Sus scrofa: one gene and its partner. Each later gene encodes a partner of the first gene's protein in a complex. Links are inferred from orthologs where the notes say so. Each region holds a gene or a part of one and is shown on either strand. Other genes may lie near its edges.

Region 1 (6,693 bases):
CCTTGGGCTGCAGGTGGGGACTAGCAGGAGGCCACTGTGCTCCCCTAGGCCACGTGGCAAAGGCCAGGGTCATTGCATCCCAGAAACGGATGTGTACTGCCGGGGGGGGGGGGTGCCCCACGCAGCTGGGAAGGGAGGCAGGGGAAGAGCGGGTGAGGACCCTGGGAGGGCCCGTGAGGTCAAGGGCTGGCAGGGGGGTAGGTGGTCGCTGCCTTGGCATCAGTGGCTAAGGGAGAGGAGGCCCAAGAAGCGGCTTAAGCATGCCCTGCGCGGAGCGCCCCACCACCCAAGGGCAAACACCTAGGACCCACGGGGGCCAGGATGCAGCGCGCCAGCCCCAGGGGCAAGCCAGAGAGGCGACGCGGGCGGCACACAGTCCAGCCGGCAGTGCCAGGAGCCCACCTGATGATCACGCAGTCCAGGAAGTCGGTCAGCCGGCCGTGGCGGGTGATGTACGAAAAGTCAGGGAAGCGCCTCTGCAGAGCGGCGGTGGGGGGTGGGGAGCATCAGGCCGAAGCAGGCCCAAGACCCGGGACTTCCATGGCCACCCCCAGGGACGGTGGGGGCGGGAGGCCGGGAATGCAGTGACCTCAGAGCCACCGGCCTCCCACCAACGCCCACCTGCCCAGACGGCCCCCCCTCCAGGGCTCAGGGCCTGACCCCCTGGGCCCGGTCCTGCTGCCAATGGCGCGCAGGAGCGGGCAGGGTGCCGGGCGGCCGCCCGCGGGACTCACGTCGTCACTGAAGCCCATGTGCATCCCGCAGTCCAGCATGACGTTCTTGCCCCCGATGGAGACCAGGATGCAGCTTCGGCCCACATCCTGGCCGGCTCCTGCACAGGGGGAAGCGGGAAAGGTGCTGCCATGCCCTTCCCTCACCCCCGCCCTTGAAGGATGCCCTCCACTTGCTCCAGACCCCCTGAGCGCTCCGGCTGACCTGTGACGGCTGTGTAGACGAGCTGAGGGGACAGCACCTCCGCACGTAGACAAGAGAAACACCCGGGGTGGGAGAGCCGCAAGGCGCCAAGGCCACCACAGGCCCTTCCCCACAGGGCCTCCAGCCTCAGGCCCTGCCATTCACCTCTTTTTATTTATTTATTTGCTTTTTAGGGTCACACCCATTGCATACGGAAGTTCCCAGGCTAGGGGTGGAATCGGAGTTGCAGCACCTGACCTACGCCACAGCTCACAGCAACACCGGCTCCTTCACCCGCTGAGCAAGGCCAGGGATCGAACCTGAGTCCTCGTGGTTACTACTTAGGTTCGTGACCACTGTGCCCAGACAGGAACTCATCAGTCCCCTCTTGAGGCAGCAACCCACCCGCAGCAGACACCCACATCCTGAGACCAAGAGCTGAGTATCGGGTGCTGCACTGTGGTCCCAGCACTCAACACACGCAAAGCCAGGGCTACATCTGAGCTGCGGGGCCCCTGCCCCCAAGAGGTGCCAGCCCCTCCTGGTGGTGCCACTGCAGAGGGATGCCATGTGGCTTTATGTGGCCCCATGTCCCCAAATGACAAAAGCCCCCAGTGCTGTGCCCTCTCGGGGCAGCACCAGCCCAGACTGTAATCTGAGTCCCATTCACGTTCCTGATCTCCAAGCCCTACCGAGATGCTCCAACCCCAGTGGGGCACATCCCAGCCCCCTGATATGGCCATCTGTCACCTCCTCTGGAGTCTGGAGGCCCAGAAGGAAAGGGACACAGTCTTGCAAGGCCTGATGACAGCAAATGACCTGCCTTTCATCTTGAATCTGACCAGCCTCCTTCTGTGGCCACCTGAACCTTGCGTCCACCAGAGTGACCAGGCCACAGCCCAAAGCAGGACACAGGCTGGTCCTCAGAAAGCTTCAGTCACCCATGACAATACAAGGCGATGGCAGCCACGAGCTCGGCCTGTGGGCCTCGGGCAGCCCAGCCACAGGCAGTGGCCTCGCAGTCCCCCACAGGCCTGCTCCTGCCTCCACCATGAGTTCCCGAGGGCAGGGCTCAGCTGCCTGCTTCCTGCTGCACCTCAAGCCCCAAGCCATGACCAGCTCCAAGGTACTGCAGAATTTATGGGAGGGGAAGGGTCCCCCCTTCACAGACAAGGGTGTGAAGTCATGGAGCAGCCCATGGGCACGTGTGACAGTTTTGTGGACTCCAGAGCTCTGCTCCTGGGCATGGGCTGCCTGCTCCCAACAGGACCCACAACAATCCCAGGGAGCAAGGAAAGTGGCCAGAACTGGGCAGGGAAGGGTTGCGGAACAGAGCTTAGGGTGCGCAGGAGGGTGGGGAGGTGGGGACAAAGCAGACACTGTGCCCACAGGGAGCTGGGGTTTCAGGGCGAGGACACAGTGACCACCTAGAGAAGTCTGCACCAGATGAGATGAGCGCCTCCTCAGGAAACAGTAAGACAGGGAAACGGATGGGCACATCCTCCCTGAGAAGACGAATTCCGAGTAGTTTGGAGAAGGACCGTGGGATGGGAGGGCAGCTGTGCAAAAGCCCTGTGGTAGGAGGGATCCGGGAGGGCTCTCTGTATCTGGCCCAGTGACCAGGGACCCTCTGAGGCAGAAACTGGCAACGTATTTCTGCTCTGATGGTGCCAAGGTTAAGTGACACTGAGGGCACTCCAGGTGCAGATCTGGGGTTTAAAAAAAAAAAAAAAAAAAAAAAAAGCACTAAAAAGATAGGACTGCTCAGGAATGAGCGGTGAGAAGAGGAACTACATGGAAAAGGGTCAGGCGGGAAGGAGAATCTGCAGAGGCGGGGAGGGCATGGGGCTGAAGCAGCCAGAGGGGACCCTGAGCCAACAGCTAGGAGAGGCCACGCAGGTGAGGACACTTATGGCTGGGTGAGATGTGCGCTCTGACCCAGCAGGCCAGGGGCAAGGGTGTTCACTGCAACTGCCAAGAGCTCTGTGTCCACACTGGGGGCTGGGTGGGCTATTCTGAGGGAGAGCTCACCACAGAAGAAAGGATGTGGAGCTCGGGGGACGGTCTACGGAAGATGCTCCCAGCGCACGCCCCGGGGAAGGAGGCAGCTTCCAGCACAGACCCCACAGGTGCGCAGGGAGGCGAGGCAGCAGCAGCTGGAGAGTTGACCATGAAAATGATAACTTCGGCTGTTTCTAAGACGCGGGATTCTGAGTGATCCTTCCTCCTTCGCACTGTTTTGTACCTTTTGGGCCTTTAAACTGTGCACTTACATCTTTTGCGAAAAGCAAAGTTACCTTAATGTTGCAGCAACCACATAAAACAAGGTCGGGCGGGTGGACTGCAGATAGATACACGGAGGCTGCAGGAAAGCGGACGCCAGACAGACGGGGGACGGGGATGGGCAGGGAGTGGCGAGGAAGCAGAGACAGCAGCGAAGGCGCCCTGAAGCACCGGCGCGCGGGGGGGGGGGGGGCGACGAGACTGCGGGGGTCCCCGGCCCGTCGAGCCTCCCACTCGCCTTCCTTGCGCGCTCTTGCCGCGCCGCACGCACCAGACCGCCCGCGCCGCACTCACCCAGGGGCGTGACCCTGATCTCGGGCATCCTGAGCGATGGTGGGACTACCGCCGCCCCGCCAGACCCCGGCGCCGAGCCCCTGCTGCGGCCACGCGCACTGACTGGAGGCGACACATTGCGCAGACGCAGCCTCAACTGCGCCAGCTTCCGGTGCGCTCCACGGAAGCGCGGGCGGGCGCGTTGGGCCTTCTGATTGGGCGGATGGCAGCCAATCCTGGGCGGTGGGGCGGGGGCCGGGGGCGGGGCAGCGGGACCTGGGGCGGCCGCGGCGGCGCAGGTGAGCGGCGGCGGCGGCGCAGGTGAGCGGGTAGAAACGAGCTGCAGTCGGTGGCGGGGAAACCCAGCCCAACCGAACCCGGCGGGTGGGCCTGGACCTTGCCGTGGGACCGCGGGAGAGGGCGGCCGAGGACCTGCCTCCCGCACCGGCCCGGACCCGGGGTCCCTGTCCCATCCCTGGGCCTCAGCTGGAGCAGGACCTGCCCAGGTTGGGGACCCCACCTGGTCGGGGATCTCGCGTTCCAGCCCAGCGCCACCTGGAGCCTCCTTCCCAGGCGAGATTTGCAGGACTTCCTGGACAGGGCCTGGCTCACACCCTCTGGACCTGAGGTGTTGGAGGACTGCCCCATTTTCCTTGCTGTCAGCCACAGGGCTCCGGTGCTCATGCCGGCCTCAAGATGAGCCCTGACCTTGGGGCCTGGGCTGCCTCTGGGGGAGCCTTGGCGGTGCCCTGCATCACCTTCCCAGAGTTGGCATGCTGCCCGCCCCGGCTGCATGGCCACTGCCCTTCCTGTTGTTTTCAAGCTCTGAAAGACTCCTGGCACCTCCAGTTAGCTGCTGGCTCAGGTTCTGGGCAGGAAGGCCAGGCCCACAGGATGTCTGGTGACCAGGAAGGGAGCCCTGAGGGCCTCAGAGGCCATCTGCTCCGTGGACAGAAAACCGAAGCCCTGAGAGAGGGAGTCTCTGGAAGTCTCTGGAGTGTCCTCTTCCTGAGGCCAGGCATGGCTGTCTCCCACACCTGAACACAGGGTGAGCTCACCTCCGAGCACTGGGCCTGGCATCAGGCTTGCAGCCAAGCCTGTGGGGCCTGCAGGGCCTCAGCAACCCCTGGGCCCCATCAGATGCTCTCAGCAGTCCAGATGCTGGGCAGGGCAGGGTGTGCTGGCCCATTCTCCCCGAAGATGAAGGGCGGGGTTTTAGGAGAGTGTGTGATCTGCCCAGGCATCCAGGTGTGCTCTCCTGGCTGGGCTCTCACCACAGCTTGGACGGCTGCCCTCCCATGCCTGGCTCCCAGAGCTCCCAGCACCAAGGGTACAGGAACCCCCCAGGCCCAAAGGGACAAGAGCTTGTCCTGGACTTGACGTGAGATACAGCTGGGTCCCCAGGGCCTGTCGGAGCCACACCACAGGGAAGCATGGCACAGGGTGCCCAGAGGTATCCAGTAACATGTGGGCACTGGGATGTTTGTGGAGTGACTATATGTTTGTTTGTTGCTTTTTAGGGCCTCACCTGCGGCATATGGAAATTCCCAGGCTAGGGGTCAAATTGGCCTACACTACAGCAAGGCGGAATCCAAGCCACAACTGCATCCTACACCACAGCTCACTGAAACACCAGATCCTCAGCCCACTGAGCGAGGCCAGGGATCAAACCTGTGTCTTCATGGTCCCAGTCGGGTTCATTACTGCTGAGCCACAGCAGGAACTCCTGGAGTGACTTTATGAATGCCAGCAGAACCCAGAGCAGGACTCTAGCCTGGGGCCCTTCTGGATTCCCTGGGGCTCAGGGAGGGCCTAGGGCTGCCTTCGGAGAGTGGGAAGACCTTTGGTGCAGGGACCTTTGGTCCCTCCTGTGTGGGGCGTGTGCAGTTACCATAGGAGTGAAAGGCTGATGTCTGTCTAGCTGTCCACAAACACTGACCCTGCAGCCTCTGCTCTGGTTGTTGGGATGCAGCTTCAAGCAGGGAAGGGCATGGCCCTCCCACCTCCGTCCACAGTCTGTCTCTCCATGGGGCTTGTCCTTCTACCTGTCATGTTGGAACTTCCTGCCTTTGTTGTTACCCGACACAAACATTGCCCTGCCACTTGGATGTCGCCCCAGTGGGGCCAGGCTCTTGGTGTCACTCACAGAGCACCCAGTGCGTGCCTGGCTCGGAGTGAGGACTCGGCAAATACTTCTCCAGCTGTAGGAACAGACAAATGGGGGAGGGGGGGAGTGAGACTATAAACAAGTCAGCAAGAAAACCTGAGCCGGAACTCCCGCCGCGGCGTAGTGGGCTAATGACCAGCCTCGTCTCTGTGGCAGTGCCAGTTCAATCCCTAGCCCAGTGCGGGGGATTAAGGATCCGGCGTTGCTGCCACTGTGGCGTAGGCCACAGGTGCATGTTCGGATTCGGTTGCTGGCCCAGGAACTTCGGCGCACCTTGGGTGTGGCTGAAAAAGGAGAAGAAAAAAAACCCAACAACCTGAGCACAGAGACGCCTGTCCCAAGTGAGGTGTGGCAGGGGGTTGACAAGCCTGAGTGACGGGCTGTGTGGCACTGTGGGCCGAGCGCCTGGCAAAGGGCACAGCAGGGCTCAGTATGTCTGCGAGTGTGTAGCACGAGCAGAGCAAGGTGGGCACAGGGCTGACCCACGGCTGGGGCTCACCACGAGCTCAAAGAGGGGAACAGCAGGATCATGGCTGTTTCCTTCCAACTGTCCCTACCCCCACCCCCAGAAATCACGACCCAAAGAATGAGCAGGCTCCCAGCCCGCAGCCTGACCCCGTGTGTTTCAGCTCCTGTTGAAAATGGATGACTTAGACTTCAATCTGAAAATTGTCCTCGTCAGTTTCAAGCAGTGTCTCAACGAGAAGGAAGAGGTGCTCTTGGACCACTACCTTGCCGGCTGGAGGGGCCTGGTCAGGTGCGTGCCCGGGGCCACTGCCCTGCCCTTTCCTGGCCCTTGGTCCCTTGTGTGCTGCCTGCACCTCAGCAGCGCTCGTAGGCGCTTTCCTGCCCTGGCCGGTCAGCTCTTATTGCTCGCCGCCCCAGAGGCAGGGGCGGCCTCCCCCACACCCCAGGCTGAGCTCCTGCTTCCCTGGCACAGGTTCCTGAATAGCCTGGGCACCGTGTTCTCCTTCATCTCCAAGGACGTGGTGGCGAAGCTGCAGATCATGGAGAAGCTATGCAGCGGTGCCCAGCGGGAGCACTACAGCAGCCTG
Region 2 (6,010 bases), on another chromosome or scaffold:
AGAACCCAACTATCCATGAAAATGCAGGTTCAATCATTAATGTATATTTTCAAGAAAATTAACTATCTTAAGATTTTCAAATCAACATCATTGTGCTCACTATTGTTTTTCTTCTTTTTTTTTCGGTTTCACCTGCAGCATTTGGAAGTTCCCAGGCCAGGGGTGGAACCCCCACAGCAGCAACCCAAGCCACTGCAGTGACAAATCCATAACCCACTGCACCACAAGGGAACTCCTGTGCACAGTCTTTTAATATTTGTTTTCCAGATCTGTTGTGACAGCCTTGTTCTGTTTTCTTTAATCATTTCTTTTCCTTTTTCTTGCTTAATTTATAGAAGTTCGGCTGTCATTTGCCTGTGTGTCCCCAGATCCATCCCAGGTCTGCCCCCTGCTCACTGCGTTTCCCAGGCTCTCTTAGTGACAAGCTCCTGACAGGTTTGGTCCATGGTACAGGCAGGATATCTGAAGGAGAGAAGTCTGGGGTTTCTTCCTCTGTACTTCTGCAGTCTGCAGCCGTTTCCTCTACTGTCTCGGCACCTGCTAGGCAGCCCCTGCCCACAGCCCAGCCCCAGCCAGACAGGATTACTGTGCTCACTTCCCACCAGGAGGCCCATTCCTGGGCTCTGGTCACACCCAGCCAGCACCTTCTTTAGGGCTTTCCTTCCCTTGCCTCCTCCTTCAGACACCACATAATGACATCCCTCCCGGGAGTTCCTGTCATGGCGCAGTGGTTAGTGAATCTGACTAGGAACCGTGAGGATGTGGATTGGATCCCTGGCCTTGCTCAGTGGGTTAAGGATCTGGCGTTGCTGTGAGCTGTGGTGAAGGTTGCAGACACAACTCAGATCCTGTGTTGCTGTGGCTGTGACCTAGGCTGGCGGCTACAGCTCCAATTCGACCCCTAGCCTGGGAACATCCACATGCCGCAAATGCAGCCCTAAGATGCCAAAAAAAAAAAAAAAAAAAAAAAAAGGAAAAGAAAGAAATTCTATGCAGCAGGATGCAGATTCACTTTCATGTTTGCTACAGGCCCAGGGATGGGAAAGTACCACCCTGGGGAGAGTCGGGTTCCAGTGAGAGCCCGGGGTAGGGAGGCCAGTCTCTGCCTGAAGGCCCAGCGCCGCAGGTGTTACTGGTGAGGATGCCCATGTCCCCACCTTGGCTGTTAGCACCTTTAAAAACAGCCGCCCCAAACTTTTAAATATATGAAGAGTCTCAACTTCGCACATAAGAGAAATGCAGACTAAAAGTACAAATAATGATTTTTTTATTTATCAGACTGGCACAAGTAAAAAAGCCACTAAAGGGACTGCTGTTAAGGTAAGAGAAACAGATCATTACTATTGCTGTCATAATGTGGCACAATCTCCACAGAGGGCATTTGGACAGTATTTATAAACACTAAAAATGCACACATCCTCTGCCTCAGCAATTTTATATATCTATATCTACACACACACATACTATACATATAGGGGGTCGAATCGGAACTGTAGCCACCAGCCTGTGCCACAGCCACAGCAACACCAGATCCGAGCTGTATCTGCGACCTACACCACAGCTCATGGCAACGCCAGATCCTTAACCCACCAAGTGAGGCCAGGGATTGAACCTGTGTCCTCATGGATGCTAGCTGGGTTCACTAACCACTGAGTCATGACAGGAACTCCAATATATTTATTTAAATATATATATATAGTTTTTTTTTTAGGGCCCCACCTGCGGCATATGGAAGTTCCCAAAGGAGGGGTCAAATTAGAGACACAGCTCCTGGCCTGTGCCACAGCCACAGCCACAGCCACATGGGATCCAATCTGCTTCTCTACCCATGCTGCACCTTGCAGCAATGTTAGATCCTTAACCCACTGAGTGAGGCCAGGGATTGGATCTGCATCCTCACGATACTAGTTGAGTTCATTACCACTGAGCCACAAGGGGAACTCCCAGAATTTTATTTTTAGAAATGTCATGGATACAAAAGTTGTACATATTACTGAAAAAGATTAGAAAATTTTAATTGCCATTTAACAGGAGCCTGGATATATAAATTATGCTTCAACTACACAACAGTTCATCACACAACTGGGATAAAGAACCATGCTGTTCCTTTGTGCCTTCTGAACTGTGTACCTTGTAACCTCTATCAGCTGTTGAGAGCAAAAATGTTTTATTTATTTATTTTTCTCTTTTCGGCCATGCCTGTGGCATGCAGAAGTTCCCAGGCCAGGGATCAAACCTGCACCACAGTAGTGACAATGTCAGATCTTAACCTGATGCACCACCAGAGAACTCCAAAGATGTTTTAAAATTTGACATTTAGTAGGCAAAAATGGCATAATCTTAACTATTTCCTTTACTGCCACTGGGGTTGACTTTTCATGTTCATTTGCCCATTTTTAGTTCTTTAAAAAATTCACAGGAGTTCCCGTCATGGCTCAGTGGTTAACAAATCCGACTAGGAACCATGAGGTTGCGGGTTCGGTCCCTGCCCTTGCTCAGTAGGTTAACGATCCGGCGTTGCCGTGAGCTGTGGTGTGGGTCGCAGACGTGGCTCGGATCCCTCGTTGCTGTGGCTCTGGCTTAGGCCGGCGGCTACAGCTCCGAGTTGACCCCTATTCTGGGAACCTCCATATGCCACAGGAGAGGCCCTAGAAAAGGCAAAAAGACAAAAAAAAAAAAAAAAAAAAAAAAAAAAAAAAATCACAGGACCTGTTTACATTCACTAACTCTTTAGATTGTATGATATTGTGAATACAGACAGGGGTAAAACTTGAGGGAAACGGGGCTCCCAGATCTAACAGTAGCCACCAAACATGTATTGTGCCATGCACCCTACCCATTATTTTTAAATATGTTACTTCTAACTTTCCCAACAACCCTGCCAGACAGTTGATGACCAATCTCATTTTACAAAGAAAGAAAGTGGGGCCAGGAGGCTGGTTAACTTGCCCATGGCCACTCAGCTGGAACAGGGCCCTGTGGTCACTTGAATCCTTGCTATCCAGCAGCACCTCCTCTTCCCAGGGCCCGGGTGGAAAGATGCTCGTGTCAGTGCGAAGCACGGAGGTCCACCCAGTCCCACACGTGCAGTGAGGCATCACTTGCTGCCGACAGCAAAGTCCTTGGTTTGCAGGGGTGCCAGGTATGGGTGGTGACCAGTGGAGCAGTGTCTACGCCACTGTCATCTAGGAAGATGTGACCTCTGTGAGTGAAGAGAGGTTCCACTTGGCCCCCCACTCCATTCCAAGACGTGACATCATAGACCTGGACCGTCCCATCAAAACCTGAGGAAGGAAAAAATAAAAATCATTAAAAACAAAACAAAAAAACCTGAGGAAAAAGAAGAAAAGGGAGCACTGACACTGAATCCCTGGAGTAATTTTCATAATTTGCTCTATGGAACCCAAACTGGCTACAGGATAAAAAAATCAAATAGTAATGAGATATTTAAAGGCCAACGACAGAGCATGTAACATCCAGCCTCAGTGTCGGCAGCTGATGACACTATGGGGCAGGGGACGGTGAGCACCTGTCAGCCATCTGCTATGTGCCAGGCCCGAGGCTAATCCTGCATTCACTCTTTTAGTCCTCACAGCTGCATGAAGCAGGTACTGTTATTTTCCCCAAGAAACTGAGCTTTAAGAGACTTTTTTTCCTTTTCTTAAGGGCCACACTTCTGGCATATGGAGGTTCCTGGGCTGGGGTCGAATCAGAGCTGCAGCTGCCAGCCTCCACCAAAGCCACAGCAACACCAGATCAGAGCTGCCAACTTACACCACAGCTCATGGCAATGCTGGATCCTTAACCCACTGGGTGAGGCCAGGGGTGGAACCTGCATCCTCACGGATACTAGTTGGGTTCTTAAACCGCCGAGCCACAATGAGAACTCCCTTAAGGGACATCTCAAACCCTTTCCACTTGCCCCCAAATTTCTAATCCCTCTGTACTGAGTCCCTCTCAACAGATGTCCCTCTCAACAGATGGCCGTGTCTCCTATTTGATGGGGAAGCAGGAACCTTTAAGGAGGAATAGCCAAGCTTGGTTCTTCTCATCTGGATCCTGCTATTACTAATGATCTTTCCTGCTCTCTCAACTATTCTTTCTACCTCTCCCCCTCTAGGAGTTCCCACTGTGGCCCAACAGGATCAACAGTATCTTGGGAGCGCTGTGATGCAGGTTCGATTCCGGGCCCAGCACAGTGCATTGCCACAGCTGTGGTGTAGGTTGCAACTGCGGCTTGGGTCTGATCCCTGGCCTGGGAACTCCATATGCCTTGGGGTGGCCAATAATAATAATAAAAAATAAAAAAACCTCTCCCCCTCTCAGAGGATCCTTCCGTTGGCTTTTTGATACTTCATTCAATACCCTCATTCAGCTAGATGCTGCCAGGCCAGACCCAGAAGCCTGCTGACTTAGCTGGCTTGCTCTACTTTTGAAAGCGAGTGGACTGAGACGCACCCCTGAGGTCCTATCACCCCTGCCTGCTGCACCCCATGGCTGTTCTAGGCCTCTTGACCAACCTCAGAATTGAATTTCTGCTGGGACAGAAAGGCCTGCCGCCAAGGTATGGAAGTTTGGTAGCCGGATGGGGAAGAGCCAGCACTGAAGGACCTGGAGAGCTACACTGGAGCATTTCCAAGCTACTTTAACCTCTTAGGCCAGATTTATTGTGGGGCTACAGGCCCCTTCCTGAGCACCCTAGAGTACCCTGGGAGAGACAGATCCAAAGACAGACACGAGATCCTGCTCAGCAGTACCTGAGATAGCCAAGCAGTTGTCTAGGCCTGGAGCCCAAGTCACTCGCAGCAGCTCTGGGTCAGGGCTGGGTGTGGACACTGGGCACTGGACTGAGCTCACAGGCTGGCTGAGATCCCGCAGGTCAAGAAGACAGAGCTGCCCGTCCGAGCCAAGGCTGGCGATGCGAGGCCCAGGGCCCCGGCCGCCGACTTCTGCATACCACCTCCCTCCAGCGGACCCAGGGCTGGGCCTGAGGTTCTCTGATGGGGCCCACTTCTGGCGGGTGTCAACAAGGCCCAGGCGGCCTGAGGTGCAGCAGAAGGCAAAGGTGTTTGCATCCAGGACCTGCAGGCTACTCAGCAGCTCATCCTCGCTAATACCTGGACAATGGGGCAAAAGAGAAACTGCTGCAGTCACATGGGGCTGGTGATTTGGTCGGGCTGGCGGGTCACAAGTCCCTTCGTCCGAGAAGCTCCCCCCTAGCCCCAGGCAAAATGAACCACTCAGCTGGCTGTGTGCTGGTCCCAGGACCTGCCACCCCCAAGCCAGAACAGGGGCCCTGGAGTCCAGGCCTGGCCCTCCCTCATCCTGCTTCCCCAGCCTCTGGCACACAGGGTGGGGTTTTGTTTCCAGCATGGCTGAGTGGGGCTGGGAGGTGGACACTGGCTGGACGAGCCACCAAGGGGCCATGGTACCTGAGGTGTATGTGCTCTTGTGCGACTCCAGGTCCACCACCTTCAGGCTGCTAAGCCTCGCCCCGTGGAGGACCCCAGGCGCCGGAGACGAGAAGATGGCCAGCCTGGGCCAGGGATGTCCCTCCTTCTCATGTGCATCGATGGTGCTGACAGCTTTAATGACATCTGGGGGGCAAGTGGAAGAGGCTGAAGTCTAGAATGTTGATGCTGGTTTGCAACCTTACCTGGGGGAGGCCGGCCAGAAGGCCAGGGGAGAAAAGGAGCTGACAGCGGGCAGGAGAGGATGTGGAGACACAAACACTCTGCATTCTGTTCACATTTGCGGAACTGTCAGACGTGCTCTAATTTCTTTATAATTTGTCTTATGATGAACTGTCGTGCACATGGGAGAAAATGAATCACTGCAGCCATTTCAAAAAAGCCGAAAGCAGTCCTGGCTTTTTATAGTTTCATGGAGAACAAACAAAGGCAGAGAAAAAGGAAAGAACACACTGATGATGTTGTTTATGCCTTAAGTGAAAATAACAGGAACGAATCTATTCATGAACAAATATCATTTCCTCAAAAACATGTTCCAT

Evidence for each region. Proteins that work in one complex are often made in the same cells at the same time.
Region 2: the proteins of INTS11 (region 1) and WDR73 are in contact, whole or in part, in a cryo-EM structure (PDB 8R22), measured with the Homo sapiens proteins. The link is inferred for Sus scrofa from reciprocal best matches to the Homo sapiens genes INTS11 and WDR73. Residues at the interface, in NP_060341.2 of Homo sapiens: Tyr206, Thr208, Thr209, Ile210, Arg211, Asp212, Ser213, Arg215, Cys216, Arg217, Glu218, Arg219, Asp220, Leu222, Lys223, Lys224, His226, Phe255, Arg258, Met259, Leu364, Val384, Glu385, Tyr386, Ser388, Lys418, Lys419, Glu421, Phe422, Gln425; in NP_116245.2 of Homo sapiens: Asp5, Asp6, Leu8, Val9, Ser11, Leu12, Tyr15, Gln16, Phe18, Tyr19, Ala20, Phe21, Asp22, Leu23, Glu50, Leu52, Arg59, Leu68, Phe69, Pro70, Glu71, Arg72, Asp73, Phe74, Lys75, Val76, Gly79, Phe81, Asp116, Ser117.

What each region holds. Positions count from the first base shown.
Region 1 is NC_010448.4:63,604,261-63,610,953, forward strand, and holds the start of INTS11 (integrator complex subunit 11), read right to left. Parts: upstream 3,644-6,693; 5' UTR 3,521-3,643; coding exon 3,493-3,520; intron 833-3,492; coding exon 735-832; intron 477-734; coding exon 403-476; intron 1-402. Other genes in the region: CPTP (ceramide-1-phosphate transfer protein), read left to right, coding at 6,280-6,395, 6,579-6,693.
Region 2 is NC_010449.5:52,899,388-52,905,397, reverse strand, and holds the end of WDR73 (WD repeat-containing protein 73), read right to left. Parts: intron 5,598-6,010; coding exon 5,433-5,597; intron 5,118-5,432; coding exon 4,758-5,117; intron 3,285-4,757; coding exon 3,049-3,284; 3' UTR 1,251-3,048; downstream 1-1,250. UniProt on the Homo sapiens protein: Component of a multiprotein complex required for the assembly of the RNA endonuclease module of the integrator complex. Associates with INTS9 and INTS11 in the cytoplasm, stabilizing the INTS9-INTS11 heterodimer and blocking the active site of INTS11.